Coturnix japonica: one gene and its partners. The protein of the gene in region 1 purifies or fractionates together with the protein of each later gene. This does not show direct contact. Links are inferred from orthologs where the notes say so. Each region holds a gene or a part of one and is shown in the gene's direction. Other genes may lie near its edges. The genes, in order: ANAPC16, ANAPC13, ANAPC7, CDC27, CDC26, ANAPC2 and ANAPC4.

Evidence for each region.
Region 2: the proteins of ANAPC16 (region 1) and ANAPC13 purify together in Homo sapiens (affinity purification with mass spectrometry; 3 studies listed by BioGRID and IntAct, counting the BioPlex papers as one, with this or other methods). This does not show direct contact. The link is inferred for Coturnix japonica from reciprocal best matches to the Homo sapiens genes ANAPC16 and ANAPC13.
Region 3: the proteins of ANAPC16 (region 1) and ANAPC7 purify together in Homo sapiens (affinity purification with mass spectrometry; 6 studies listed by BioGRID and IntAct, with this or other methods). This does not show direct contact. The link is inferred for Coturnix japonica from reciprocal best matches to the Homo sapiens genes ANAPC16 and ANAPC7.
Region 4: the proteins of ANAPC16 (region 1) and CDC27 purify together in Homo sapiens (affinity purification with mass spectrometry; 10 studies listed by BioGRID and IntAct, with this or other methods). This does not show direct contact. The link is inferred for Coturnix japonica from reciprocal best matches to the Homo sapiens genes ANAPC16 and CDC27.
Region 5: the proteins of ANAPC16 (region 1) and CDC26 purify together in Homo sapiens (co-immunoprecipitation; 5 studies listed by BioGRID and IntAct, with this or other methods). This does not show direct contact. The link is inferred for Coturnix japonica from reciprocal best matches to the Homo sapiens genes ANAPC16 and CDC26.
Region 6: the proteins of ANAPC16 (region 1) and ANAPC2 purify together in Homo sapiens (co-immunoprecipitation; 5 studies listed by BioGRID and IntAct, with this or other methods). This does not show direct contact. The link is inferred for Coturnix japonica from reciprocal best matches to the Homo sapiens genes ANAPC16 and ANAPC2.
Region 7: the proteins of ANAPC16 (region 1) and ANAPC4 purify together in Homo sapiens (co-immunoprecipitation; 10 studies listed by BioGRID and IntAct, with this or other methods). This does not show direct contact. The link is inferred for Coturnix japonica from reciprocal best matches to the Homo sapiens genes ANAPC16 and ANAPC4.

Annotation. Positions count from the first base shown.
Region 1 is NC_029521.1:9,575,748-9,578,922, forward strand, and holds the end of ANAPC16 (anaphase-promoting complex subunit 16), read left to right. Parts: intron 1-1,559; coding exon 1,560-1,675; 3' UTR 1,676-2,200; downstream 2,201-3,175. UniProt on the Homo sapiens protein: Component of the anaphase promoting complex/cyclosome (APC/C), a cell cycle-regulated E3 ubiquitin ligase that controls progression through mitosis and the G1 phase of the cell cycle.
Region 2 is NC_029524.1:2,642,501-2,646,427, reverse strand, and holds ANAPC13 (anaphase-promoting complex subunit 13), read left to right. Parts: upstream 1-1,558; 5' UTR 1,559-1,669; coding exon 1,670-1,768; intron 1,769-2,700; coding exon 2,701-2,826; 3' UTR 2,827-2,938; downstream 2,939-3,927. Other genes in the region: CEP63 (centrosomal protein of 63 kDa), read right to left, coding at 1,237-1,280. UniProt on the Homo sapiens protein: Component of the anaphase promoting complex/cyclosome (APC/C), a cell cycle-regulated E3 ubiquitin ligase that controls progression through mitosis and the G1 phase of the cell cycle.
Region 3 is NC_029530.1:4,516,799-4,521,855, forward strand, and holds the start of ANAPC7 (anaphase-promoting complex subunit 7), read left to right. Parts: upstream 1-1,995; 5' UTR 1,996-2,115; coding exon 2,116-2,216; intron 2,217-2,695; coding exon 2,696-2,882; intron 2,883-3,506; coding exon 3,507-3,626; intron 3,627-4,133; coding exon 4,134-4,245; intron 4,246-4,472; coding exon 4,473-4,626; intron 4,627-4,732; coding exon 4,733-4,875; intron 4,876-4,972; coding exon 4,973-5,057. Other genes in the region: ARPC3 (actin-related protein 2/3 complex subunit 3), read left to right, coding at 106-232, 629-723, 1,018-1,080. UniProt on the Homo sapiens protein: Component of the anaphase promoting complex/cyclosome (APC/C), a cell cycle-regulated E3 ubiquitin ligase that controls progression through mitosis and the G1 phase of the cell cycle.
Region 4 is NC_029542.1:2,302,554-2,306,602, forward strand, and holds part of CDC27 (cell division cycle protein 27 homolog), read left to right. Parts: coding exon 1-31; intron 32-661; coding exon 662-814; intron 815-1,600; coding exon 1,601-1,809; intron 1,810-2,019; coding exon 2,020-2,137; intron 2,138-2,510; coding exon 2,511-2,639; intron 2,640-3,114; coding exon 3,115-3,189; intron 3,190-4,049. UniProt on the Homo sapiens protein: Component of the anaphase promoting complex/cyclosome (APC/C), a cell cycle-regulated E3 ubiquitin ligase that controls progression through mitosis and the G1 phase of the cell cycle.
Region 5 is NC_029532.1:814,816-818,030, forward strand, and holds CDC26 (anaphase-promoting complex subunit CDC26), read left to right. Parts: upstream 1-1,685; 5' UTR 1,686-1,716; coding exon 1,717-1,797; intron 1,798-1,884; coding exon 1,885-2,058; 3' UTR 2,059-2,131; downstream 2,132-3,215. Other genes in the region: PRPF4 (U4/U6 small nuclear ribonucleoprotein Prp4), read right to left, coding at 191-270, 487-574, 772-958, 1,153-1,330, 1,513-1,587. UniProt on the Homo sapiens protein: Component of the anaphase promoting complex/cyclosome (APC/C), a cell cycle-regulated E3 ubiquitin ligase that controls progression through mitosis and the G1 phase of the cell cycle.
Region 6 is NC_029532.1:1,026,617-1,031,606, forward strand, and holds the start of ANAPC2 (anaphase-promoting complex subunit 2), read left to right. Parts: upstream 1-1,954; 5' UTR 1,955-1,975; coding exon 1,976-2,056; intron 2,057-2,795; coding exon 2,796-3,418; intron 3,419-3,736; coding exon 3,737-3,869; intron 3,870-4,967; coding exon 4,968-4,990. Other genes in the region: SSNA1 (Sjoegren syndrome nuclear autoantigen 1), read right to left, coding at 1-93, 1,598-1,797, 1,877-1,928. UniProt on the Homo sapiens protein: Together with the RING-H2 protein ANAPC11, constitutes the catalytic component of the anaphase promoting complex/cyclosome (APC/C), a cell cycle-regulated E3 ubiquitin ligase that controls progression through mitosis and the G1 phase of the cell cycle.
Region 7 is NC_029519.1:66,522,820-66,527,104, reverse strand, and holds part of ANAPC4 (anaphase-promoting complex subunit 4), read left to right. Parts: intron 1-598; coding exon 599-683; intron 684-1,069; coding exon 1,070-1,180; intron 1,181-1,727; coding exon 1,728-1,811; intron 1,812-2,064; coding exon 2,065-2,151; intron 2,152-2,834; coding exon 2,835-2,899; intron 2,900-2,994; coding exon 2,995-3,037; intron 3,038-3,147; coding exon 3,148-3,224; intron 3,225-3,643; coding exon 3,644-3,744; intron 3,745-3,823; coding exon 3,824-3,875; intron 3,876-4,158; coding exon 4,159-4,214; intron 4,215-4,285. UniProt on the Homo sapiens protein: Component of the anaphase promoting complex/cyclosome (APC/C), a cell cycle-regulated E3 ubiquitin ligase that controls progression through mitosis and the G1 phase of the cell cycle.

The DNA of each region.
Region 1 (3,175 bases):
AGGAGGCTCGGGGCAGGAAACGCCCACGACCTGCTGGTGGCCCTGCACTGCTGCCTCTTTGGCCTCAGGCAAGTCACTGGCTGCCTTTGTTTCCCTGCTGAGCCTTCATAGCCCTGCCAGGGTCAAGCGAGGTTCCCAGAGGTGTCTGGGAGAGGATGTGCACTCTGTAAGTGTGTGCAGTGAGCTGTGGGGCTGACCGTGCTCTGTCCCTCCCTGAGAGTCTTGCGTGAGCTTTTGTTTCCCTCCCGGGGTCTGTGCTGTGGCCCAGGTGCTGATAACCGAAGGATGGGCTCGTCTGCACGGCTTCATTCTCAGGGTGCCGGGCAGAGCTCAGCACCACAGCCCATCTGTTTCTCGAGGGTCACATCCTTTCTGGGCTCCACCTCTCATCAGCTAGAATGGGCACTTCCATGTGTTGTCTCAGACCGGAGAGGTTTCCTGTCCTGCAGTTTGATGGCTGCCAGGAGGAGTTCTCAGGGTGTGCAGCGGCTTGTGAGGCCGTGATCCCGTGTTTCTGGGCTGCAAAGCAAAGCTGAACTTTGGAGCCATTGTTTCCACAGCCCCAACTCTCCTGCGCCTGTAACTACCAGTGCACCAGCACCCCAACGAGCAGCAGCTTTTGGAACTGGTTTGTGGAGTGCTGGTTGCCTCCCTGAAGGAAAGGGGAATGGCTCAAAATAAGATCGAGGTCATCGTTGTGTGTGTTTGTTTGATGGCTCCCAAAATACCGAGTTGCAGGAGGTGGAGTGAGAACAGGCGCTTTTAAAAGCACCCAGCCTCTGTGGCTGCAGTCAGCACAAACTGTGCACATTTAAGCTAAGCCTTTTGCTAGCGACTTGGCTCCCGACAGGCCCTTTTTTTTTTTTCCAAGAGGCTGCCAAGCTCTGAAACTTGCAGTGCAGCCAAGAGCAGAAGGGCTATTCTCATCTCCGTACCACTGCAGCTCGTTTAATTGAAAATGGAGTCTGCGTGCCAAGCGCACAACTGGCTTGAAATAAAGCTGAGGGGAACAAGTTGTCCCAGGGAGCCCCGGGGAGGCAACCTGCCTCTCCTCCCAGATCTGCTGTGTGTTAGCACGCTGTGATTGCACTGCATTGCTGCTGCACTCAGCCAGGTTCTTCTCCAAGGACCGTCATTGGCAGGAGGAGCTCCTTGTGCTGCACCCAGCCCTGCCCTATGCAGGCCAGGCTTTCTCTAAACTCTGTTCTTTTGCACCGTAAATGTTTATGCTAAAGAAAAGAACTCGGGGCTGTTTGTGCCTCCATACGCTCACTGTCCTCATGTTCCTCTGTTACGACTTGAACTATTGTGGCTAGTGCAGGGATGTGTAGCAGACAGATTGAGCACTGCCCAAGCAATAAAGCCTGGCCCTTTTGCTTCCTTGTGTGATCAGGTGAGGTCCAATCTCCATGTGCACATGGTGGGTTTGCATTCAAATCAGCTTTTGGTGAGGTCAGTTCTTTGCTCTGCTCCCCACTGACAGCTGGGAATTTACATCTAATTGCAAGGTTTAATTGCAGTGTCGTTGCAAAGCAGGGTTACCTTTGAACTTCTTGCAGATCAACAAGTTGCGCGGATGGAAAAACTGGCCGGTCTGGTGGAGGAGCTGGAGGCAGATGAGTGGAGGTACAAGCCAATAGAGCAGCTGCTGGGATTCACTCCCTCCTCGGGCTGAGCACGTCTGGATCCCTGCTGCCGGAGAGCAGAAGGAAGGAGCTCTCTGGCCCAGCTTCAAAATACACCACCATCTATCAGGGTATTTACAGCTGTGTCAGCGGGATTGGGCTGAAAGAAAGAAAGAAAGAAGGGGGGACGTAAAGCCGAGTGGCAGGGGAAGCAGCCCAGTAAGTTGGCCTGTCATTTACCTCCTGTGTGCTGACCCAGGTTATCTCCTGCCTGGGAAGTGTGTGTCTGTGCCACTCCAGCCCGGCCTCTGCTGGGCACTGCCAGGCTCTGCCAGCAAGGCTCCTTTCTTCGAGGAGCTGACAGGGTGAGCCCCATCCTGCAGGGCTGTGTCCAGCGCTGCCTCCTGCATTGCTGAAACCCTTTTCTTCCCAGCACTGTTTCCCTTTTGTCTGCACGGTGCTGGTGGCACATCCCTCTTTAACGCAGAAGCTGTACCCTGAATACACTGAAACCCTTCTCCTCCTTATTACGTGTTAAAGTGCTCTGTGATAATAAAATAATTCTGCCTTTGAAACCATTGCTCTTCACCGCTTGGTGTGGGGGCAGGGTGTGATGAAAGGAGCAGTCAGCTGCTGAGGTGGGAACGAGGTTTAATGGAGCTCTGAGGCACCTCGGCTGCTGTAATGGTAAACTAAGTACAATCAAAAACATCCTCAGAGAGAAGGAAAACAAAGGCCGCCTGCTTCATGCTCAGAAGTGGATTGACTTAAATCAGATCTTAATCCCGCTTCCAATCCGTGCATTTTAATCATCTTGTTTTTCATTTGTACCTCAGCTCCGTTCTTAAGGAGAACTGGCTTTCTGCTTTCTGCCATAACCATCTCAACATGTTCATTTTCCATTGGAGCCTTAACGCCGTGCTCGCCAGCAGGGGGATGGGCTCAGTGCTGAACAACCTCACAATCCGGCTGCCCAGTTTTTCCATCTTCATTATCTGACTTCCCAGCTGATTTTTTCCCTTTTAACCCAGCGGCCTCAGTCCAGCCACATCTGGATTGAGACTGAGACGCCATTGAATCTGGACTCAGTTCAGCAGTTTTGCCAGCGATCTGTGGTAACAAAAACCAAAGGGGAAAAGCACGGGGCCGTGTTTTGCATTTGCTTCTGTTTATGAAGGAGTTCTGGTATCGGAGCCAACTCTTCATCACCTGGAGAGAGGGGCTGAGATTGCAGGCGGTGGGAGCACCCTCACAGTGCAGGACGTGGTGGGGAGCAGCACAGAGCCAGCTCCTGTGTGCCGGGCACTGGGATGCGTGTGCAGGCAGCGGCCCTGCCCCCATCACATCTCCTCCTCTTACCTGAACGCTGCTTTACCCCAGCTGCATAAACCCACTGTGGCCAAAGGTGCTGAAAACACGGCTGTCCTCTGCCTGCCTCTCACCCACCCTGTGTGCCACCATCAGAAATAAACCTTTGGCTCTCATTGCACACAGTGAAGCTTTGCCACCACCGTGGCTATGGGGGCACCACGGCACAAGGGCGGCACTGC
Region 2 (3,927 bases), on another chromosome or scaffold:
ACAGCAAGCCCCTATGACCACTGGTCCCTTTATCTTGGTACTACGCATTACCTAAATAAACCACAACTTATTCTGCCCATACTTTGCATTTCCCCTTAATGCTCTTTTATACCCCCTTTCAGTCACCAGAGAAACCTCTCAGCTCCCGAAAACAAAAGCATATCACAAATGCAGACAAACCCCTACGTTGGTTGGATGACAACATGATAATGAAGAATAAAACATCCCCAACCCATTGGGGAAAGCACGCTCCCTGGCGATGCCGCAGCTTCTAATTTGTGCAGTAATTATTGAAGCCAATTCAACCAAGCCCTGTAAAACTTCACAAGTGCTAAGCTAAGGACGGTATGAAGGCTTGCAAGATACAGCCCTGGAGGGCTGTGAACTCCATGATCATCTTCACCCATTTAATTTGACTGTCAAATGGAAGGCTCTGAAAAGGAACGGAAATCAATAGGTGAAGGGATTGAAATTTCCCTGCTCCCCCAGAGCATACATACCCAGCCTTCACAAGCTGACAGATCTTCTATAGGGAAAGAAGTAGCTCTCAGAGCAGCCAAAAGCAGTTAAATTGGATGTTCACCCCGGCCTGCGAGTTACCCAAAAATTAGCAGCTATTATGCACAGCAAGAACACCTCCTGCTCAGCATCTGCTGATACACAGCTATGTCTAGACTGCATTTATACAACCAGTTAACTGCAAAAGATACAGCACTGAGTCACCTCCTCAAAGACGGCAATGGAAATGGTGTCAGTGCCTTTAGTTTTGTGTTTGTTTGATAAATGAAGCCTTGTTATTCCATCTCCAAGCCCACAAGCCTTCACCTAAGGGTTCCTCAGGGTGTCTGCAGCTCCAGCACAAGCAGGAAGTAATCAGGTGCTCTCAGCATGTCTCATTAACCTCACCGGGCTCTTAAGAAAAGGATTTACTCACTCTTCTACTTAGCACCGCACTGCAAGGCAGGAGGGGGCTTTTTAAAGGGGAAAACAAAGGGATAACGTTCTTAGAGAGGCAAAATACAGACTGCAAGGCGCTGAGGGACCGCTGCAAAGTGCCGAAGCAGCCACGTCGCTGTGCGCTGCATCCATCCGCCTGCAGAAGGTACCGAGGGTCTCATTGACACCATGGGAGCTTGGCAGAAGAGTGGCAAGGAGCGTTAAGAGGGAAGCCCCGCGGTGAGGCTGTTGTAAAGGCCGGGCACACAGCGGTGCATACATACATACGTACATACATACCTCCCCTGGCCATTCCTCTGCATGCCTGCCAGCAGAGCCTCCATCACCCAGCGCCGGCGGGGTCAGCAGGGGGGAAACCACGCAAAGCAGCGGCCACCGCATCCACGGGCAGCGGGAGGGGAAAGGTGGGGGAAATAGAGGGGCAGCAGGAAGGGCAGAGACACGAAGTGACGGGGCAGAGAAATGGTTGGTTGTACGGAACAAGAAGGTACCGCACAGTGAGCGGACCGCACCGACCGCACCGAGCCCACCCGCAGGGCGCTGCCGGCCGGGGAGGGGAAGGAACGGAGGCGGCGGCGGGTGATGACGGTACAGCGGGCGCCGGAACATCGCTGCGGGATGGGGCGGAGCGCTGCCGGCAGAACCGAGCGCGTTGGGGCCGCTCGAGTCCCCGCGGGACGGGGCTGGTACGGAGCTACCTCGGAGGGTGAGGATGGACAGCGAGGTGCAGCGGGACGGCCGCATCCTGGACCTGATCGATGACGCGTGGAGGGAGGACAAGCTGCCGTACGAGGACGTGGCCATCCCGCTGGTAGGTGGAGCACAGAGCCACATCCAGCCCGGCCTTGAATGCCTGCAGGGATGAGGCATCCACTGCCTCCTTGGGCAACATGTTCAGTGCGTCACCACCCTCTGGGTGAGGATCCTCCCCTTCCCTGTTCGCACAGGTGTAAGCCGGCCAAAATCACGGCATCTGATAATGCCTGCAAAGAGACATTGCCAAATTGCAGTGACATCATTCAGCCCTTACAGCACAGTGTGGCATCACTCTTGGAAGAAGAGCAGCTCCTTCTCAGCAGAGGAGGCAGGAAGCAGCTGCCCTCCTCCAAAACCAATAATAACCAATGCAGCAACACGGGGAGCAAATAACACGAGGAAGTCAAATGAAATCGCATTTAAACTCTCCTTCCTCCCCCCTGCATGCTGAGCAGCTTGGTGTTGTATCTCCTGTTGTTACAGCACAGCCACAGCAGAGCTCCACATGCAGCAAGAGGAAGGATTTCTCACCTTGCCATAAGAAAGCGATATGTTACAAAGCCAGCTGTCTTAATAGAGCTACGGTAAATGCAGTATCTGTATTCTGGGCAGCAACAAAGAACCACAATCTAAACAAGCAATGGAATAATTGCACCGTGTTATTATTTACTTATTTTGCATTTTCTCTATATTCTCCTTCACTGCGTGTGCAGTCTGAGTACATAGCAAGGCCCCGGGGCCCTGGAAAGCCAATTTACCTTTCAGATGAAGCATCATAATCATATGAAAAGCACATTGTTCCTCCCTGGGCTCAGTAATATTTTAACTGAATCTGGATGTATGATATGTATTGTTCAGATGCCCCCTCCAGTCTCATTTGTGGATTTTTTTGTATTTATTCATAGGAAGTCTTCGTCACCAGCTCCTTTTTAGGCAGCTTGTTATGCACTGAATGCATTGTACCTTTTTTCTTCTTGTCGTTCTCAGAATGAGCTCCCTGAACCAGAGCAAGACAATGGAGGCACAACTGAGTCTGTGAAAGAGCAAGAAATGAAGTGGACGGATTTATCTCTGCAGTATCTCCATGAAAACGTCCCTCCCACAGGAAACTGATGAATCCGGGGGCATTTCACGACAAATTCTCTGTTAACTTATTCTTTACTTGGTGCCAATTCTGTTCTTAAGTGTTTTCTACACATGATAAAAAATGTGTTTTTTCACCATCTGGAGTTGTTCTTATATGTCAAAACTGGGGATGGGATGTTTGTGACCGTGGAGGTTTATGTCCCAAGAGGTATAACTGTGTTTTGTGTTAGAGTTCGCTGCCAGTGCTGACCACTGTATATTTACACGTTGTTTAAATGGTGCGATTTGTGCTCAAATGATGGTTACTCAAAATCCCTATTGGCTGAGCACGTTGGATGTTCTGTGAGGACATGGGCGCTGAGTAGGAGGATGCTTGGTTTGAGTGGCTGGGGCAGCCCCTGCCTGAGGAGTCAGCAGTGCCTGCTCTGAGCCAGCAGTGAGCTCATCTGAACAAGAAGGAGCTGCATGCAGCCAGCAGGCTGCTCAGGATTAACCCAAGCTTCATATGTACAGTATAGACCTTAGAAACAGCTACGCTGCTGGGAACTGTAATAGTTCAGCTCCTCGCTGTATCTCAGCAGGGGGCAAAACAGAGCTTGGGCTTAATGAGGTATTTCTGATCCTCCCCATGTTCCCTCTCCCTGCAAAGAAAACACTAGAAGCTGCGTGGTGGCTTTGTGTACCCAGCAGCCGTCTCTGTTCTCTCTTCCCTTCCCCTCTCTCACTCCATCACAGGCTCCATCCCCATCACACCAATTTTGCCACAGGATTTTCCAGCTCCAATTTCAGGCTTCCTTTCCCAGCCCTGATGGTTGTCTGTGCATCTGCCCACTTCTTACTGTCTAGCAAGGGGGGAAAAAAAGCCTTTCTCGCTTGAATTGGAGCTGAATTCACAAGGTTCCAGCAGGGCTATAAGAAAACATGGTGGGGATATGTCAGATGTGTGAGTGCTGTCCAAAACAGCAGCTCCTTGGCAGCACGTATTGAGTTGAACTGGGAACGTTGTCAGGACAAAGTGGTGCCCATCCAAATCATGAAGGACCTCACAGGTTAAAAGGGATGCTGGGCTTCCACCTGCTGGAGACAGACAGAGCGTGGGAGAACCAGAGGAACACGGATGGGAGTGTC
Region 3 (5,057 bases), on another chromosome or scaffold:
AAACAAATACTTGAGGCTGTGGTTTTGCAGGGACACTGCACTGCTGTTCTTGATAAGTCTTAATGGTTTAGGGATTGTAATCAATTGTTTGGTTGGTTCTTTCAGTGCAACTCTAAAGGCCAAGGAGAGAAAGAGATGTACACGCTAGGAATCACTAATTTCCCAATCCCTGGGGAACCTGGCTTTCCACTTAATGCCATTTATGCCAAACCTACCAACAAGCAAGAGGAAGGTAAGACTTAACAAAGACCCCTAAAGACTTGCTTTGGTCCAAGCTTTACCAGCTGTGTTTTTGCAGTTACAACTAGAAAACTTCTAGCTCTGTTTTCTGAGGTCTTCTGATCTTATAACTGCTAGATAGATTCTGTAACAGAGCTCAAGCTAACTCCTACACTGGCAGAGAGGAAACCCATAATGATGGGCAAAGGCTTAGCTGAAAGAAGAAAACAATTGAGATATGTTTTACTCATACAAATATAACAAATCCAAGTATGGCTGTAAAATGAACAGCCAGCAAGGGCCTACAGATGTGAGAGCTCACATTTCTTGCTGTAGGCAGTGATGTCCGCTGCCTTCACACTCAGTTTAGTTTGCCTTAATGCTACTTTGTCCTTGTGCTGTATTTCAGAGGTGATGAGAGCATACTTGCAGCAGCTCAGGCAAGAAACTGGCCTTCGACTTTGTGAAAAAGTATTTGATCCTCAGAGTGACAAGCCCAGTAAGGTAAGGATTTGGCCTAATGATCACAGATTCAATGAGAGGCTTGGTTGCTTTCTCCAAAAGATGGAGATGCATGAATTACATCCTGGTCTTGTATTTCATGTGCAAATATATTTGCATTTCATCATGAAAATTATTCAAGCTAATTTAGTTCCAAAGGCATAGCTTTCTGATGTTCATTATTACACTGCAATAAATATATTGGAATTGGTATTAAACCTACTTTTAAGTCACTATTTCATTTATAAGATAGAAACATCTCTTGCCTGTTTTCTAACTGTGTGCTTTCTTCTGCAGTGGTGGATCTGCTTTGTGAAGAGACAGTTCATGAACAAGAGCCTGTCTGGACCTGGGCAGTGAACAGACAAAGCAGCACCATGAAGCATTTCCACAGCCAGGTGTATGAAATATTCTGCCTTTGTTTTGGATATATTTTGTACCAAGAAAAAGAAGCGTATATGAAGAAAAAAGTCAACGAGGGGAAGAGGGGCGTAAAGTTAAAAGATCATTTGAGTACTGTAAGCAAGTAATATTAAGCTGGTGCTTAATAAATGATTCCTATAATGCTGTTCCAGATGCAGGCTGCTTTATTATCAGTGGCTACAGTTAGCATTTACAGCGGGGAGTTTAAAGAGAAGCGTTTGTGCCTGGAGTGGTGTTAATTGCTCTGCTGGATGGAGTCTCAATGTTGTGGTGAATGCAGTGATTTTTTTTACCTCTTTTTTCCCCCCTCCCCAATAAACTTAGCTTGTAATTAACATGATAATGGCTTTGTCTTATGGTTAGCCATCGTGATATCGGCAAATGCTGTTTGTTCTGAGGAGCTGCTGGTCTGAGCTCATTTCATCTCCTTTGTGGCAATACCTTCACCATCACCACACAGCACTAACGTGCCTTTTGTGGTACTTAATGAAAGAAGGAACACTGAGGTGTCTGTTCCACCTCACTACTCTCCTATGAGAGTTACTGTGTGCTTCAGTTCACAGCAGCACCACTGAGGTGTTTCACCTGTGGGCAGCCCATGTTTTGAGGCCTCCCTCTCCTCAGTTTCCTTATAGGCACAAGCTTTGCCACCTCACATCACTGCTGCAGCCATCACACATTGAAATCTGAGGAGAAAAGCATCCAGGCTCGAGAGCTGCGCAGACACAAGGTCTAAATCTTAAATTAAAATAAAGAAATAAAGATGCTATGACGGGACACGCCCTGCAGCATCATCTCCCTGTTACCACAGACATCACGTAGCCCCGCCTCAACAGCACTGCGGCGGCGCGGGCGCCTGTGGGCAGCGTTACGAGGCCCCGCCTTGGCGCCATTTTGGAGTGGCGGCGAGCTGAGCCGGGCCGCGATCCGTTCCGTTCTGTGTTCTTCCTTCTGTCCTGTCCTTCCTCCGCCATGAGTGTGGTGGAACACGTACGGGAAATGGCCTCCGCCGGGCTCCACTCCAACGTGCGGCTCCTCAGCGGGCTTCTCCTAACCATGAGCGGCAACAACCCGTGAGTGGCCCTTCTGACGGGACCGGGAAGGAATACAGGCCCCTGCCTTCAGGCCCCTTCCTTCCCGACGGGCTTGGTGCGCTGCCGTTGCTCAGGCCCTGAAGGGATGAAGCTGTGTTCTCTCAACCCACCTCAGCCCAGCAGCAGCGGGCCGTGGCCCTGCATGGGCTCCCCCAGTGGAGATACAACAATTTCTTCCCTTACCAACGGTGCCCCGTGTACATCACAACGCTTCCCTCACTCTCGCGGTTCCGGTTGTTTTTCAGAGCTTTCCTGAATCGTTTTGGGTGGTTTTATGAGGTAGTAGAGCCACAATCCCATTCTGAAATCCTTACATTTCAGCACAGCTCCTCACAGTGCTGCTATCCATGTAGTAAAGCAGCAGTAACAGCTCAAAGTTGAAGCTGGATGAACATCTTGTAGTCTGTCCTTGTTTCTCAGGCTATTAGGCAATCTCAGCCTGTCTGTATCTTTCCTAGGGAGCTGTTTTCACCATCTCAGAAGTACCAACTCCTCGTGTACCACGCAGACTCTCTTTTCCACGACAAAGAATATAGAAATGCCGTGAGCAAGTATACGATGGCTTTGCAGCAGAAGAAAGCATTGAGTAAAACCTCCAAAGTGAGGCCTTCTACTGGGAACGCTGCATCAACTCCTCAGAGCCAGGTATTTAAACACTAACTGATGTGCTGCATGTAACTATTGTGCATCCCCCTCTGCTTCAGAGCATGTTGGAGTTTCAATATTGTGTTAGACCACAGACTGCTTGTATGTTTGAAGTGTAATTCATGGTTTTGGAAGAGATGAGCAATGTAAGCTATCAGTAAGCTACATTTTTACCTTTCTTGCACTGGGTATTTTTAATCTATGCTAAGCATTAAACGAGACCATATTAATGTAACAACTATGATGTTGTTGCAATGCTATAATGCTATAACGTAATGGAAAGCACAGCAATAGCAGGGTGGCATAATTCTAGGCCGCAGCAAATGAAAACAAGCCCTGATACAGTAGCTGTGAATACAGAAACAAAGGAAGAAAATCTGCTTACCTTTAGAAGGTCTCTAGTATGCAGGCTGCTAGTGTAATACTTCCACCTTCACTGCCAACCCTTAAATAAGGGCTAGGAAGAGCTGGGTCCTTGCTCCACCCCTTCCAGTTACTCAGATACATTGTCTGCACCTGAGCTTCCCTGGGTTGGTCCTTCCCACCAGCTGCTCCATCACTGTTTCAGTCTGTGACATAACATTTCCACTACAGTTGGCCTTCAATAGTTGTATTTCATTTCAGTGTTTACCGTCTGAAATTGAAGTAAAATATAAAATGGCTGAATGTTACACCATGCTGAAGCAAGATAAAGATGCTATTGCCATTCTGGATGGGATTCCTTCCAGACAGAGGACCCCAAAGGTTTGTTCTGGCAGATGTTTGTCATCGGTGCTTGCTCAGAAGGTAGAAAAAAAGGTTGAGGAAAGCAAACTTAATCTATATACACTAGAATGTAGCAGGACTCAGCTAGTTGGACTGCACAGAGCTTAAATTGTTTCTGTTCTTTTATCACTGATTACAATTTAAAAGCTAAAAAGAAACATTTCATGCCTTCCTTCTCTTGAGAGCTTCCATTGATAGAAGAAATGAACTGAAAGAAGATTAGTGCAGTGGATGTACAGGTTCTTCTTGTCATACTTAAAACACTTGTCCATTTTTGGATGTCACAATGCTGGGGTTTCCAGTTGTACTATGTAAATAAAAAGATGTACATTTTACATTTGGACTCAAGAGTCAATATTAATTTTATAATACATACATAGTAGGTTATAGTGATCTCTACTCAGAACGGAAGGGAGGGACGGCATGCTGGAGGGAGGGCAAAGTTGTGACCTTTTCTTAGTGAGGACTCCTTTCTAATACTTGCAGATCAATATGATGCTGGCAAATCTATACAAGAAAGCAGGTCAAGAACGCTCCTCTGTTACAAGCTACAAGGAAGTACTGAGGCAGTGCCCGTTAGCACTTGATGCCATACTAGGTAGGTTTCTCCACGCTGTTAAGTACATCAATCCTAAGAAGCATTATAATTTGAAGCATGGTTGGGACTAGGTAATTGACTGCCATCTCTAGGTAATATCTGATGCAGATGTATTTAATGCAAACTATAAATTCGTGACAAATTGTTTGTGCTTCCTTGTCTTCAGATAATTTGTAGCAACGGTGATTGAAATTGTTCTGTATGATTTTGAATACCTCTGTGAACAGGTTTGCTGTCGCTGTCAGTGAAGGGTGCAGAAGTGGCCTCTATGACAATAAATATCATTCAGAGCATTCCAAACTTGGACTGGCTTTCAGTGTGGATCAAGGCATATGCGTTTGTGCATACTGGAGATAACACTAGAGCCATCAATACAATTTGGTAAGATTTGGAAGAGTGTGATGTAATCAAATGCCATAAAATATTTCTTCAATGACATTTTATAATATCATTACACATTAACAACAGCAATTTGTTTCTCTTAAAGCTCTTTAGAGAAAAAGTCACTGCTGAGGGATAATGTAGATCTACTGGGGAGCTTAGCAGACCTGTATTTCAGAGCTGGAGATAATAAAAACTCTATTCTAAAATTTGAACAAGCTCAAATGCTGGATCCTTACCTAATAAAAGGTGAGTAAATCATAGTGGAAAATTTACCTAGTATAATGTTCTGCTAAATTAAGTTAGAGTAGCAAGCAAATATTGTCTCTCAAACTTTTCACTGTAGGAATGGATGTGTATGGCTATTTGTTGGCACGGGAAGGTCGACTGGAGGATGTAGAAAACTTAGGCTGCCGTCTCTTCAATATTTC
Region 4 (4,049 bases), on another chromosome or scaffold:
AGCTTACTTTGAACTTGCAGAATACATGCAGGTAGGAACTGCCTGTGGTTGGTTTTGAGTCTGTGTCAGCAGTCGTTGTTTCCTGAAGTTGAGTTGTGCTTCAGATTTCTTTTAATGCTGAAGTTACTTCCTCTTGCATCCAGTCCTGGGAGTCTCCCTTTGCCTTTCTCCATCTTCACCCTCACTTGGGCTGATGCAGCTGTTTGTACTGCAGTGCTGTAAATAATCACTGAAACAATTCAGGTTCCAAAACCAGGTGTTCTTCTCCCCCCCCTTATTTAGTTAATGGAGATCCATTGATGACCTGGTTCCCTTTGCAGCTGAGGTGATAGCAAACTGCTTCACAACAGAAAAAAGCAGCTAAGATGAATCCAGCCGTTCAGCTCTTATTCTCTCTGTTGCCCTGACAGTTGTTGTGCTTGTTTCCTGCAGGAGTCACAAGCAGGGAGGGCAGCTGGAATTCTGCTTGGTCTAACTGTATTGGAGTGCAGTCATTTCCTTTGGTGGGGAAGATAAAAATACAACAGGACTTGTAGCTCTGCCTCATGTTTGCATAGCAAAGAATTCTCATTCTGGACATATGAGGCTTCTAACTTTGATCTGTGTGCTCTGTTTGAGTGGGTGGAATTGCTGTTGTTTGATTTCTCATTTCCTTTCTTAGGCTGAAAGGATATTTTCAGAAGTGAGGAGGATTGAAAACTACAGAGTAGAAGGCATGGAGATCTATTCAACTACGCTGTGGCATCTGCAGAAAGATGTTGCTCTGTCAGTTCTTTCAAAGGATTTAACAGACATGGATAAAAACTCACCAGAGGTACAAAATGCTGTGGTGCTCAGTGAGATGAGTAACTGTGTGCGGCACAGACAGTGACAGGGAACAGAACTTGGACTGGAGCTGGATTAGGATTTCATTCTCACTTGAGAAATATGAGGTGAAACTGGAGAGGGAGGTGGCAGGATTTGCCTGTTGAGCTGATGATGCCTGAAATGGCTGCTTGGCGTTAGAATATCAGCTTATATGGGACACGTTGTGAACCTTTAATCTATTAATGGTGATTTGAATCTGTATTGACATTGTTAATCCAGGAAGATCATGGGTTGATCAATTGTCCCTGCTGATGCCCACATGTAAAGATAAGGGATGTTTTTTCTCATATTATCTTCTAACTGCTGTAATTCACTGGCACTCATATTTCCTGCACAACTTGTACAACGCTGCTTGAAAATATTTTTATGCTGAAGTCCGTTGAGCTGGTATTATAACATGCACATGACATGCAAGCAAGCTGACATGTGCCCCAATAATAAGTATGTATGTGTGTGGAGGGGATATAAATCTGCTCTTGACAGAGTGGGGGAAGCTGTGGAGTCTGTTGGGATTTTCTGCTGGAGATGAACCTATTCAGGTCATTCTATTTTGTACTAGAGGAAGGAGGACTTAGTGAAGCAACTGGTCAGTACTGTTAAAACTGTTGTTTATAATCTAGTAGCAAGTGACATAATTGCATAGATCAGTGACAGAAGATCTGTTTAGCTCAGACTTGGTCATTCTGCAGGTTGTGAAATGACACTTCTAACTTAGAATGCTGTTTTTTATTAGGCATGGTGTGCTGCAGGGAACTGCTTCAGCTTGCAACGAGAGCATGACATTGCAATCAAGTTCTTCCAGAGAGCCATTCAAGTTGATCCAAACTATGCTTACGCCTACACCCTTTTGGGGCATGAATTTGTGTTAACAGAAGAGCTAGACAAGGCATTAGCTTGTTTTAGGAATGCAATCAGAGTCAACTCCAGGCACTACAATGCATGGTAAGTCTTGCTTCATCCCCCTTCTGCTGTATGTGATATGGAGCACCTTTGGGAGGAATAAGCTGCAAACGCTGCTGTGAATTTTGTGAGACTTTTCTGTCATTGAGTCATTTCTAAATATGTGCCACTTCTACCAGTCCATATTTGCTGATGACAATTAGTTTATTTAAGATGCACTCTTATTAATGGAACTGTTTTTCCTTTTTGCAGGTATGGGTTGGGAATGATTTATTACAAACAGGAGAAATTCAGTTTAGCAGAAATGCATTTCCAGAAAGCACTTGATATCAATCCTCAGAGCTCAGTCTTACTGTGTCACATTGGAGTAGTAAGTAGATTGCGCTCAGCTCTCTCCTTGTTATGTTCTGATTTGCCTCTGCCCTTTACCTGCAACCTTCCTGAACTTGAAGTGCAAAAACAAACAAAACAAAGTTCAGAGGATCTATTAGAGGATCTTATTGCATGAATGAATAACCGTGGGATTGTGTCAGAAAATAAATCCTCTTTTCTCCCTCCCCCCAGTTGCTTTTAGCCAGTGTTGAAATGGCTTACTGACTCAACCTGATAGCATAGGCTTACCTGTGAGAAAGCTTGGTTTCTTTAAGACTCAGTAGGAACAGGTTGTAAGTAAACGTAGCAGCACCAGTCAAATTTACTTTATTCTTTTCCCCTTTTGAGATTTTATTCCTGTTCTGTTACAGGTCCAACACGCACTGAAAAAATCTGAAAAGGCTTTGGATACTCTAAACAAAGCAATTAACATCGACCCCAAGAACCCACTATGCAAATTCCATAGAGCTTCTGTACTGTTTGCAAATGAGAAATACAAGGTAAGATTTGATGCACGTAGACAACCTTAGATTATCTGTTACTTGCTACAGCAGCGGATGGGGATGCAGTGATAAGCATTAAGGCTTGAAGCATGAGTAGGAAGAGCCTGAGGCAGAGCAGCTAATAAAGCATTTGTTTCAAGAAGTGCCACCTTCACTGAGCAGGAGATTAAAAGTCAAAAGCAGAGGATACCTGTGAGCAGGAGAAAAAAAATTAGATGTTATTATAGGAGACCAAAGCCCAGCGTATTTATTCTGTGCTTGTAATAATTGGGCCATAACATTCTATAGCCATTAAAGGAGAAACTAATGTAAAAGAAACTTGAGGTGCTTCTGATGAGGCCGTACTGTTGTTTGTGGTGGAGTGTGCTGTATGTCAGTTGCGAGGTTTGCATCAGCTCTGAGTTGCAGTTCAGCAATGCAATAACTGGCTGCTGGTTGCCAGCTTGTGCTTATTTTTTTTCTTCCTTTTCAGTCTGCTTTGCAAGAACTTGAAGAACTGAAGCAGATTGTTCCCAAAGAGTCTCTTGTTTACTTCTTAATAGGAAAGGTAGGTGAAATTTCACTGTGTTTGTAAGCACTTTGTTTTCCTTCATTGCAGAAACGTCTGCTTAATGAGGAAACTTGAAGCCTGTTGCCAAGCTGTTTACATTTGGGGCAGCATTGTAAAATTCACAGAGCCTTCAATAAGACTTGCTGCATATAATCTCACAGCTCTCCAACGTAACAGCTTTCAGCCTTAAAAGACTGGAGCAACCTCAAGCTATTTTTATAACCACCCAAGAAAAGATAACCCAAGCTCCTGTTGTCTTCTTTTACATCTGTTGTCTCAGAGGAATTCATTTTAGAAAGCAAGAAATGGATCTTTATTGAGATCTTTAACTGCAAAGAGGTTGCAGTAGTTAGAACAGCTTTCAGGGCTAGGCTGACTATCAGTCATCTGTGTTGGTTATTTGGGCCTGGAGATGTGAAAGTGTTGAACCATGCTCAAATGTATAAATGTATTAATATTGCATCAGAAGTGCTGAGTAAGTGTCTGTGGGGTGCTTTTACTCCTCCGTGTCTGTTTCAGCTGATGGCCTTTGCAAGTGGGTTACAGAAGGCGATATCCTTCTGTATCAGTTTGGGAAGTGGGAAATCTTAATGAGGCTGTAGGAGTTCCGAGGCTTAAATTACATCTGAAGAACCACTTCCTTATGTTCTTGAATCTGTTGGCTGCTAATTTCATTTGATCACTTCATTTAAATTTGGGCACTTAGGCAGAAACACTCATGCACTTTTTCTACATGCTTTTGCTGTTTCCCTCTGGACTTGTGTAATAAATGTTTGAATCTACTCTACTGCTTCTCATATGTGTTAGTTAACTGTGACTTATTGTGTTTGTTGTCCAACCTTTCACACAGCACCTTG
Region 5 (3,215 bases), on another chromosome or scaffold:
TGTTCACATTTCCCATGCCTTGCTGCTAGAAACCCTCACTTCCCCATTACTGGGCTAACAGATTTGTCTACCGGAACATGTTCTTCATTCTTTTGATCTCAAATTTACTACACTACCCACAATGTGGTTAGTAGTTAAGAGTTTACAAAATGTTGCACTTCTCCCCTTCATTGATGTTAGTTTTCCTTACCTGGGAAGCGAGTAGTTAGCAAGCCACAGCCTTGCTGTTTTCAGACTCCGTGGTCCTTCATGGTACCAAGTCTGTTGATACTGTAAGGAAAAGAACAAAGCCAAAAAAAAGCTTAATGCTGCCGATTTAAACAGTGCATTGACAGTTCTGCTAAAATGGGCAACAAAGAAAAAGAAAGGGATGATTTTAGAATTTGCACCCTGACCACAACCAGGTCTTGAATGTCTCAGAGACCACCAAAATAAGGTATTCAAAGATGACTGTATAAATCTCCTCCGGCACTGAGAAATCATTACCTCTTCTTTAGACTTTTTCGACCTGTCGTCATCTTTCCTTGTCTTTTTTAATGCATCTGTGCCGACCACTGAGAGGATATTTCTTAACCTGAAAGGAAACACGTTAGGTTACGTTCACTTGGTGGACAAACACTCATTGTGTTCCATTCTTTCTTGTTATGTTGTAACCAAACACAGACCGGCAGCACTCGCTGCACGCCAACTACAAGGAAAACAGTGGGAATATGATAAAGTGGGGGAAGCTGAGCGTTCCCTCTTTGCAACACACAAGGGCAGACACAGCACCTCTCCCTCCTCTCTGCGGGACCTTCTCCAAAGAGCGTGATGGGCTCCCCGAGGGCTCGCAGACAGGCCTTCACTTCAGAGTCATCCGTGGAGACGTTGATTTGCCGGGCTCGCTTCCTGCGCTCAAACTCAGCCAAGACTTCGGCCTGTCGCTCACTCATGTGATCCTCCAGATCAAAGACCTCACCTGCACCAAAGCAAAACCATCAGCCTGGACACAGGAGCTGGACAGGAGATCCTCCTCCAACAGGAAGATCCCAACAGAGAGCTGGCAACCCAGGGAAAAGCCTCCCCTTATCAAACCTAATGTATGCTCAGATATTATTGGAGTGACTTTCGATTACACTAAATAAAGGCCACCCCATGCTGCTGTGCTCTCACCGCTGCTGATGTTGATGTTCCCGGCCTCCAGGGCCGCCTTCATTCCCTCCTTCCCCAGCAGCCCGGGCTCCCCCTTGGCCAGCCGCTCCCGCTCCTTCTCCTCCAGGCTGCCATAGAAGATGGGCGCCCTCTTGGCGGGGGGAGCATCGCCATCCTCGGACGGTTTGTTCTTCGTGGGCTGCAAAGGAAAGACAGAACCGATAGGAATCCGTGTGTGCTGAGTGCAGAGCTGACCTCATAACGGACACGGCACGGAAACCACAGGATCTTGTGATAACACCCCAAAGCCGCAGCGCTACCGGTCACAGCCCGACCCGTCACAGCCCTCCCAGCTCCGTTCCTTCCCATCTCCTCCCGTACCTCAGGCGGTGCGGGGCCCCTCACAGCCGCAGGCCGCGCCCCGCCTCGAGCCACCGGTGCCCGCACGGCCGCCATCACTGCGCTGCCCGACGGCCTAACGGAGCACTTCCGGTGACGGACAGGAAGCGGCGGGTCACACCGGGTAAACCGGAAGGGGCGGGCGGTGCGTGACAGAGCGGAAGGGGCCGGGAGGCGGCGGAAGCGATGCTGCGACGGAAACCAACGAGGTTGGAGCTGAAACTGGACGATATCGAGGAGTTCGAGGGAGTCCGGAAGGACCTGGAGGTGCGCGGGGACGGAAGGGGAAGGACCGGCAGGGGTCGGGGGTTGTCCCGGGCACCGGGGCCCTGACTCGGCCCCCCCGCCCCGCAGAGCCGCAAGAAGCAGCGGGACGAGGCGGACGTGGCGGGCGGCGAGGAGGCGGCGGGCATCGCGCTGGGAGCCGAGCACAAGAGCCGGGAGCAGCTCATCAACGACCGCATCGGGTACAAACCGCAGCACAAGGCCGGGGTCCGAGCCGCGCACTTCGGCACGTTCGAGTTCTGACGGTGCCGCTGCTCCCGGTACCGAACGGAGCCACACGAGGCTGTTTTAATAAATGGGCTTTTTTACAAACCGACACCAGCTCCTGGGTCTCCTTTGGTTGCACGGGGAAGTAAAAGCCTTCACTCAGCACAGCTGCAGCATTGACGGTTGTTTTTAAAGCACACAGCCACAGTAAAATGCATCTGCTTTATTAGTTAATTATATACAGGAGATCTTTGATACGTTACTAGATAAGTTACCTTCACAAAGAGCAAGAGGAAAATCAAAAGTGACAGTCTGCTGTAAACAAAACTATCCGTCCTTTTGGGTCTGCTGGGGCTGCAGACCAACTGAGAAGGCACTGGGGGAAATAACAGAAGCTCAGGGATGAACACAGCCTGGATACACTGTGCTTCCTACAGACATGTAAAGACAAAGTATCAGGGTGCACTCACAGACACAGCGATCACATTCTAAGCATGCTACATATGCTGACACGTGAACTTCATTTACTCAAGTCTAATAATCTAATATTAGAGTCCTCACCTCCCTCTAAGCACCACTCAACACAAGTTTAGTGTTAACACTGGGACAGCTTGAAATACAGCCAGCATAAAGGCCAGGATGGCATCCAACATCCAACGCACTAAGTGCAAGTCGGTATCACAGTGGGCAGGTTTTGCTCAGACTGGGGAAGCAAACAGCATCAGGTGGGCAGGAGGGAGGCTGGGGCACAGGGAGGCTCCTCAGGACTGTCAACAGTTACTAACCCTCAAAAGAGATGATTTCAAGGGAGGATGCACATACAGTGATGCAGAAAAGCAAGCAGGACTGAACTTATGTTATAAAAGCCGCAGCTACTGCATAGTTCCAACTTATCCTTCTCTGATTGGAACAGTCAGAATTCAAGTCTGGGCACTTGAATGCAAAAGGAAAGGTGGCTAAAAAGCTTCACTGATAGCAAGAAGATCAAGTCAAGCAGAAGTTTTATTTTAGAGATAGTCAGAGGTATATGAATGAACTACTGTCAACACAGCGCAGTCACACATCCCTGCAACAGCTGCAGCTTGTTCAAGGGAAACCACACAGGTTGGTGCTGAACTCAGCTCAGGGCTGAGGTCTGTACTGAGAGCTCTCTCCCTGTTTCAGAACGCAGCCAGCTCCAACACGTCGCTGCT
Region 6 (4,990 bases), on another chromosome or scaffold:
GGTGTCTTGTCTCACTGCAGGGATGGCTGGGCAGGAATTTCTCTGGTTATGCCCATATTCTGAATCACAAAAACCTTGAGCCATTTCTCTGCCCTGGAACATAAAGCAGAGACTTTCCTGCAGCAGGTTGTGCATTTAAGTTTACTTCCTACTTGGGCTTCTTGGAGCAGTATTAAAATTGCAGGCAGCAGACTCAGTGTTTTCCACTACTAAACCTGCATGCTTCAGGTCTCTTGCTTTGATAAGTAACCCCACAATGACCTTAAATCAGACTAAATCTCACTCCTTTCATTCATTTTCTTCTGTTTTTAGCACATATTTTATACCATCTCACACTCCCATCTGTTGTGCCCAGGAGATCAAGGCAACACCAGGCTTAGATCTCACTGCCTGTGCAGCTCACCTGTTTACAGTGGGCACCTGTAACAGAACATGGCTGTTTCAGTCCCAGTGATAGCTTATACTCATTCCTATGGCCTCACAGGGGTATGAAATGGTCAGGGGAGAGGTGAGGAGCCCTGCAGAGGGATCCTGCTGTCTTTCCCCCATATCAGAGCATGGTGCGTGTATTAGGGTGAGTCCTGAGTCTCCCCTGGGCCGGGGAAGGGCAAGGAGCACCATCACACAGAGACCTGAATGCACAGGAGGGGACTCTGCTCCTCATTTCAGTCTGCAGGATGACCATGTTTCCTCTCCTCACCCCTTGGCTTCTCACCTGCTGTGACTCTGTCCCCTAATTTCAATAAACACGGCTTTGTTTGTAGGACAGGGGGTCGTGGTTTGTATCTCAGGGAAGGTTTCTTTTCCAACCTGTGCTGTTTGTGGTGTAACTTTACAACACCGCTTCCAAGCTGTTCCATTCTCACACAAGTTCTCCCCAACCTTTGGGTCCTGGAGTGCTTCCTCACATCACCTTCCCTTCCAAACAGTGTCCTGGTGGGTCTGACATCCCTGTGTGTCATCACAGCCCTATGAGGTGTGTTGGCTGAGTGCGGCAGCTGGGCTGTGCCCCTCGTGTGCTGCATTGGGGTGTGTGCTGATGGAAGTCTTGACTCTTTACAGTCATTAGCAGCTAATGTGGGAGATGCAGAGGGTCCATCAGGGTTTACACAGGGTATGGCAGCTGAACCAACTTCTCTTTTAGTGCTGGATGATAAATATTCCACAAATATTTATTTATATACTTATATTTATTACTAATGAGTGAATTGTGGCAGCTGGTTGCCTCCCAACCCCCAGCACTTCCCATGTTTAGTGCAGGTCCGGCTGGGTGAGGAGGATGCCGTGCTTACAGCACTTCAAAAGACACATGTGAGAAAGGAAAATGTAGGCGACCACCTGGAGAAACTTTTATTTCTTCAAGTGCTGAGTGGGGCTTGAATGAAGAGCTGAGCTCAGCTGAATGGAGCAGGCACAGAACCGTGGGATCGTTTGAACTGGAAGGGGCCTTAAAGGCCATCAGGTCCCACTCCCTGCAGTGCTCATGGACACCCTGAGCTCCATCAGTGCTCAGAGCTCCATTCCTGACCTCAAATGTCTGCACCAACTCCTCCCCGCTCTGTCTCCCCCTGGTGTATGGGGTTCCCTATGGCCGTACCTTGCCATAAGCCGCCTCGCTCTCAGCGATGCTGTTTTCCAGCTGCCGTTTTGCAGCCAGGTTCCGCGCCGTTCGCTCGGAGCTTCGGGCCAAGCGCTCTGTGAGCGCCGCGATGCGGCTCTGCAGCCGTTCTCTCTCCGCCTCCTCCTCCCGGATCCTCTCGCTCAGCTCATCCCGCCGTGCTCGGAGCTCGGCCAGCCCTGCTCGGACCCACCACCACCACCATCACCGTGTGAGCACCGGCTGCTCGCTGCCCCCCTCCCGTCCCCGCTCACCCACCCTCCAGCAGCGCAGCGTTGTAGCCCTGCAGCGTTTCCCCGGTTCCGCTCATCGTGCGGCCCCAACGGCGGCTCCGCGCTCCGCCCCTTCCTGCGGGACATGGAGGCGGCGGGTGCGGGGCTGTCGGCGGCGTGGAGCGCACTCAGTGCCGCCCTGGTACCGCCCGCAGCGCTGGGGCTGGTGAGCGGGGAGAGGGGGCAAAGGGATGGGGGGATAGACGGGACGGGATGGGGGGGTGTGGGTCACGGTGCGGCCCCAGCAGCGGGTAATGGGGGTAACGGTGGCCGTTGTGCGGGTGGTTGGGCTGAGCCCCCCCCGGCACATCGCTGCCGTGTGCGGGATGCGGCTTGTCCGAGGGCATAGAGGTGGTGCTGGTCCGCTCCGAAAGTGATGCCTCCTGTTGTGTTCTGTAGGAGCTGCGATAGATACAAAGAGATGGGAGCGTAAATAGAGCAAATTGGCCGGCACTGTGATGAACGAGAGACGTGTGCTCCATTCGCTTCCATGTCAGACTGCCCCTTGCTGCCGTACGTCACATAGCAGTAGTGTATTGGTGGGAGGTTCAGCCTCGGCTGCCGTCCTACCCACATCCCCCTCTGACACTGTGGGCCAGTACAATAAAATAGGAGGCATCACTTTCAGAGCAGCCCTCGTTAAATATGTAATGTAGTTAACATATACAAGCAACAGAACTGATTTTAATCCAGTAGCTTTGGGTCTGTGGGATGGGCACAGCCCACACGTCGAGGGTCCCCCCTGGTACGTGTCTGCCTAGAGTCAGAATGGTCGGGTTGGGAGAATCCTTACAGCCCACCCCCCCCTGCCATGGGCTGCCAGCCCCGCACCGTGCCCAGGGATGGGGGCATAAAGGTCTGGCTGTGTGCTCCGTGCTCAACCTTTCATCCCCTCTGCTCCCCAGGCAGCGGGGCGCTGTGACCCGGTTCGCCCACTGCAGGATGCGGAGCTGCGGGCCGCCCTGGAGGTGCTGCGCTGTTACGGGCTGCACGCTGCGGTGGAGGAGTGGTTCCTCGAGGTGCTGCAGACCGACCTGCAGGCACACATCGCCCCCGAGTTCTGGAACTGCGTCGGTCAATATGAGAACACGGCGGAGGAGCAGCAGTGCTCAGTGCTCCTCCTGGATGCGTTTTGTCTCCTCAAGTGCCGCCTGGAGCCCTACCTGAGCAGCATGGAGCTCCTGGAGGGATGCACCAAGGCCGGGCTGCTCCTGGGGACGGGAGCTCAGACGCTGCGGGAGAAGGTGTACACCATGTTCAAAGCCATCCTGTTCTTCTCCACCACCAAACCCTTCCAGGAGATGATCCAGCAGTTCTACAGCCGCACCTTCCGGATATACATGCGGCAGTGGAAGAAGGGAGAAGAGGGAATGAATGAGTGTGAGAGCAGCATGAGTGAGGCCGAGCAGGAGAGTGACACGGAGGAGAGCGGAGGGGAGAGCGCGGTGTGTGCGGGCTGCGGCAGCAGGAGGGAGCAGTGCTGGTGCCCCACGGCCATGGAGCGGTTCCGGCAGCTCAATGACATCCTGTACGTATGGCACAGCCAAGGGCAGGTGTTGGGGCTCTGAGCACTGATGGAGCTGTGGGTGTCCCTGTGCACTGCAGGGAGTGGGACCTAATGGCCTTTAAGGTCCCTTCCAACTCAAATGATTCTGTGATTCTATAACCCTATGACAGTGTTTCTGAAGATAGGATGGCAGCTGTGTGATGTGTTATTGCTGCCTGCAATCAGAGTGCTTAAATTAAGAGCACCTGCACAGCACATGGCAGCAGGTGTGCTCTGTTAGCTCAGTTTTCTCTTCATGCTTTTGCTTCTGCTCACTCACTCGAGGTTCTGTGTCTGCAGCCGCCAGCTCAATTTGCTGGAGAGGGTGAGTGCTGATGCTGTGACCACCATCCTGCACAGGATGATCAAGGAGAGGATGGAGCGACGCTGCCGGGGTGATTATGAGCACTCCTTCCTGAACGAGTTCCAGGAGGTAAGGGAGGCCCTGGCTATGGAGATGTGGAGCTGCTCCTGTTCCTGCTGCTAAATTCCCAACTCTGCCTCAATTCCCCAGTCCTGGACTGTGACTTCCACCAGCCCTGGTAGAAGAGGAGTGGTTAAAACTTTACATTTGAGATTAATGTTAGAGGGTCTGCTCTCTCAGTTGAGGGAACTGGGCTTGTTCAGCTTGGAGTAGAGAAGACTCCAGGGAGAGTCTTGCCCAGTGTCCTTCCTCACGCCTCCTCAGTTCTCTCGCTGCTGCCTTGCACTGAGTTTGTGTCGAGCTCTTTGCTGTGTATGACCTTAAAGCTCTTCTCAAGGTTACGGCTGCTCTGGGGCACGGGCTGTGCTCTGGGACACGGGCTGTGCTCTGCACACTCACTCTGTGCTCTTTGTTCCTTGATGCATGGCCTTACGTTGGTCTGCACTGACGAACAAAGTGTGAGGTCAGGTTGCCATGCGAACCAGGCAGCTCCGTGCTGTTGTCCTGGTTTCCTCGCTGTGTGCCGTGCTGGGCATTTGTGTTGTCTGCAAACACAGGCGGTGATTTGGTGTTGGCTTCCCTACAGTTGCTGTGCAACACTTTCTTCTCTGGCCCTGCTGTAAAGGGGCACTCAGAGACAAACTCCTGGGGAGAATGGCTGGGTAAAGGTGCTCCTCACCATCCAGGTGCTTTGCATCAACGATCACACTTCCCTTTTGCTTTTCAGCTTTCCCAGTACAGGTCTGGTGCTTGGGTGCTCTGTGCTGCAGCACATTCTTCTGCCTTGTGGTTCTATGGGCAGAACTCATGCACTCCTCCAGTCCATGGTCAAACAGCTGAGCATTAACAGCAGCACACCACACCTAAAGCTGGTTATCAAAACATAACGCCGCCTCATAACTCTTAATACTCAGGTGCTGCCTCAGGTGGTGTTACACATTTGCCACCTTAAGCAGGAAGTAAACCCAATTATTCTGAATATCTGGATGTTGCAGTTGGCACTTTGCTCCCATTCCCTAGATTGAAAACCAGTAGAATTCTGCAGGATGGAATATCCCACCCTGCAGAGCTGTCCTCCATCCCTGTGCTCTCCCTCTGCTGTTGCAGTGGATCGAGAAGGTGCTGGGCTG
Region 7 (4,285 bases), on another chromosome or scaffold:
ACATCTCATATTAGGAAATGTGAGGAACACCTGGAGGATACATAGTTTAGTATACTGAGACTGGCTTTGTAGAGTGCTTGTGATGTGGCAGGCAGTCTCCCTGTGCAAAGTGTGATGTTTCAAACGCAGACAAAAAGCAAGAGGTCATAGGAAAGCATTTTTCTGAGTCGTTGTGTAGCAAATTGATTTTAGTAAGTGATCAGAAGACACACTTCTGTTTGTTCGTGATCCTATTTTTTGAACTGGGTCTCTGTTTCTTTTCCCGTTGTTTGTGGCTGTTTTTTTTTCTGCTGTATCTGTTTTATCATTTTATTTCTGCTGAGGTTTTACTGAGGAGGCCCACTGAGTGACTGTGACACCCCTGTAAGTGCTAGATGCAGTTCTCATCAACCAAATCCAAGCTAGTAATATTTTTTCATTTGGTTTTAAAATTCCTTGGGTTGTAGACAACAGCACAGTATTTGCTTTAGTAAAAGGAACGGATATTAAATATTAAGAATGACATCTGTATGCAATAAAAACTGACTTCTGAGAGCTTAGGAAAAAAAGTTGTCTATTTATTTTCATATACTCATCAGCACATGTTCTGTTTTTGTAGGCTTAATGCTCTTGTCCTTGGTGGCAGCTCTGGGTTTATTGAAATTTATGCATATGGAATGTTCAAGATTGCTACAGTAACTGAGGTATGTTTGCTTCTGTATTTTTTTCTTCAGTATATACCAAACTGCAGCTGAATTGAATGAAATAATGCATCTCTAGGTTTACTTGTAACTGAAACTGGATAGTTGAAATTTTACAGGAAGGAATAATTACTTCCTTGGATAAGGTTGTGTGGTTATTGCTGGAAAGACATTCCAACTCTAAGTGGTGATTTTAACATCTTGTTTGAGAAGTAACTAAGCTCAATGCTAATCCATGTTAAAAGGGGTAAATTCATTCTTGAACAAAATTCCACTTGGTTTTTAAACATCATTGAACACAGCCTGCTTTGTATGTGAGTGTGTTACAGCAGTAAATATATATGGGAAAAATCCAGCATTTCATTAACATTTAAACTGGAATCCTTCAGGTGGCAGGTTCTTGTCGTGGACTCTGTTTATCTAGTGATCTGAAATCACTATCGGTTATTGCAGAAATACAAGACTCTCCTGACAGTGAAGCAGAGATAACTTATTTTCAGGCAAGTAAAGTAATTTTAAAATGTTCTTTCTTTTACTTTCTTTCACCAAGCTTTATCGCTTTTCCATTATTTGCAGGAAAATCCTACAATTATCGTTTTCAGCCTTCCTGAAATACACCCTGACTTAGTTTTTAGATTTATTGCATTGGCTTGCAGTCTCACAGATGAGACTGGCTGTAACGCTCTGAGGCCTTGTGATAAAATACTTCTTTAAATATAACATTCATTTATTCAGTTACAGTTGCTCTGTATTTCTTCATTATTCACACAGAGGTGTAACAGCCGTTCTGTTCATCGTCCATTCTATCCAGAACAGTCATCCTTCAAACTCTTGCTGTTAGAACCCCAAAATTAGAACCATTCTTGAGAGCTTTTCTAGGTAGATTAAAATACTAATTGCCCTGTTTTCTTCCTTAATGAAAAATCAACTTAATGAAAACGAGAAATACTGAGTTTCTCTGTGGGTCCTCTTCATCTGGGCTTTTATTTCTGTAACCTGAAACTCTTTAAAAAACAAATGATCTGTTAACTGTTCTGTTTGTTATAGCTGGACACCAGTCTGTTATCAAATTATTTACCTGAGGTAACTCGAATGGCCCGGAAGTTTACTCACATTTCAACTCTGTTACAGGTACAGTTTTGTCATAACATCTTTATATCTCAAGTTTTAGAGGCTTCAATATTCTTACAGGAAGTAAAATTTTTCTAGTAGGGAACTTCTGTTGGTTTTAAGTAAATGTGGAGCTCTAGTTTGAGAAGTTGATAATACATTTCATACAATATCTGTAGCATATATCTTCCCTTTGTGTAATAACATTCAGCTACTTAATATATACTGAAAGGGAAAAAAGGGAGTGAGGCTAATTTTAGTGTCTGTGTTGCAGTATATAAAGTTGTCATTGACGTGCATGTGTGAAGCATGGGAAGAAATACTGATGCAGATGGACTCACGGCTAACAAAATTTGTGCAGGTATTACAGTATTAACTGCTCTCTTGGAAAACTGTTTCTGTAGTAGGTCTGCTGTTCGTGTTAACTACACAGTGTATTATCTTAATGCTGTTTATTTAAGGCCTCCAGATAGCAGTCTCTAAGTTCAGAGGTGATGGTGCAGATATCTGAGTACAGTCAAGTGTGATTGCATTGTGATACTCCTTCATTTTGTTTATTCTAAGTTATTTAAAAATGATATTTTTCAGCTTGCACAGCTATTGAACAGTTGCTGTTTAAGGTTGTGTTCTTTGTACTTCAGTCACTGATAAACTGACTACTGTAAATGTTGAGCAGCAGCCCATCACTGACTCAATGGAGCATATATATCAGATCATATATTTGCATCTATTTTGTGTGCATGGCTGGCTGTTAATTGAATCAAGTAATTAATGTATTTATTTTTAACATAGATTCTTGATGATGGAAACTGCTTAGAATTTTTCCTGAGTATTACAACTGAAAATAATTGAAAATATTGAACTTGAATCATTTAATTGAATTGAATTTCCAAAGATGAAAGTAGGAAATTTCCAAAGTAGTCTCATTTCAGCATTCAGTAAGGGTGGGTTTTATAATGTACTTGGTTTGAGGTATCTGTGATGCTATTTAGTAGGTTGAATGTAATCTCTTTACCAATCTATTTCAATCATTTTGGCTGACAGGAAAAGAATACAACCACTTCTGTTCAGGATGAGTTTATGCAGCTGTTGTTATGGGGCAAAGCAAGGTAGTTACTGTTGTTTTATCTGAGTATGCATTTGCATTTGATGCTAAAATACAAAATGAAAGCATATTTGGTTTTCTCTTCCTGTCCCTTTTCAGCCTGGAACTGCAGGCATTATTAATGAACCAACTGACAGTAAAGGTATGTTAATATTATTTAACATCTTAGAACTATGCATTTCAGTATCTTTTAATCACTGCTCATTTACATTAAGAAAACATTATTATATGCTTATACTTCTTTTTTAACAGGGTTTAAAAAAGCTTGGTCAGTCCATAGAGTCCTCCTATTCCAGTATACAAAAATTGGTTATAAGTCATTTGCAGAGGTGAGTCACAAAATGTCCAATAAATTTTAGATTAAGTGGCATATTATGTACTTTGCTAAAAAACTGGGCATAGTGTCAGTGGTTCTATATATATGGATTTTTTTGTATGGTACCGTGGCAATACACAATGTACTAATTTACTCATGGGAGCTGTATTTTGAGCAATTTCCATGGTGAATAAGCTATATATCTCTGCCTGGTATTTTTATAGGAAATTTTCCCCAATGTTGTGTGGTGGTTAAAATTACAAAGACAATGTTTGCTTTTCTGCAAAGTCATAATGCATTCTTAACTCTTATATTCCAGGTGATTTTATAAAGATCTCCACTTTGCCCATTAAAAGATAAAAACGTGGTGCACAGTGAAGTAGAGTTATCGAACTGTGACCACAAGATTGTTTCTTTGCTTTACTTTCCTAGTGGCTCAGAAGCACTGTTATACTACTTGAGTGAGTTGAAAGGAATGGCTTTATGGAAACAAAAATATGAGTCTCTGGGATTAGATGCATCTGGAATTGAAGGTACAGTAGTGTGTGCCCTACTTAACCACACTCATTTCACTTCTGTAAGCATATTAGCAATGACTTGCTCTCTTCACAGAGGCTACTACTGCTGTCGGTTCTTTCATCCTGAAAGCAAATGAGCTGCTTCAGTAAGTATAAAGTCTGAAGAATTTTAAGGTGGCTATTGAGAAAGCATGTGGCTTGGGGCCGAGAAGGATGGCTGGGTATGGCTCCTCTGTTGGTGGTGAGCTCTTGTCTTGCTGCATCTCATAGACTTGCATGCCAACATGAGTCTTATATGGGATGAATGCATTTGGCATTTCTAAGAGGTCGATTATACTTACATATCTGTATAACAAATACAGAATTTAAACCTGCAACTGCTTGTGACGTTTAGGTTTGGTAATTTGTTGTTGTTTGCTTCTTCTGCAGAGTTATTGACAGTAGTATGAAAAACTTCAAAGCATTTTTTCGTTGGCTGTATGTTGGTAAGTTTGATAATGTAGTCAGTATTTGGTATCTGTTTTGTAAATGCCATAATGCCAACAATTAACTAAGC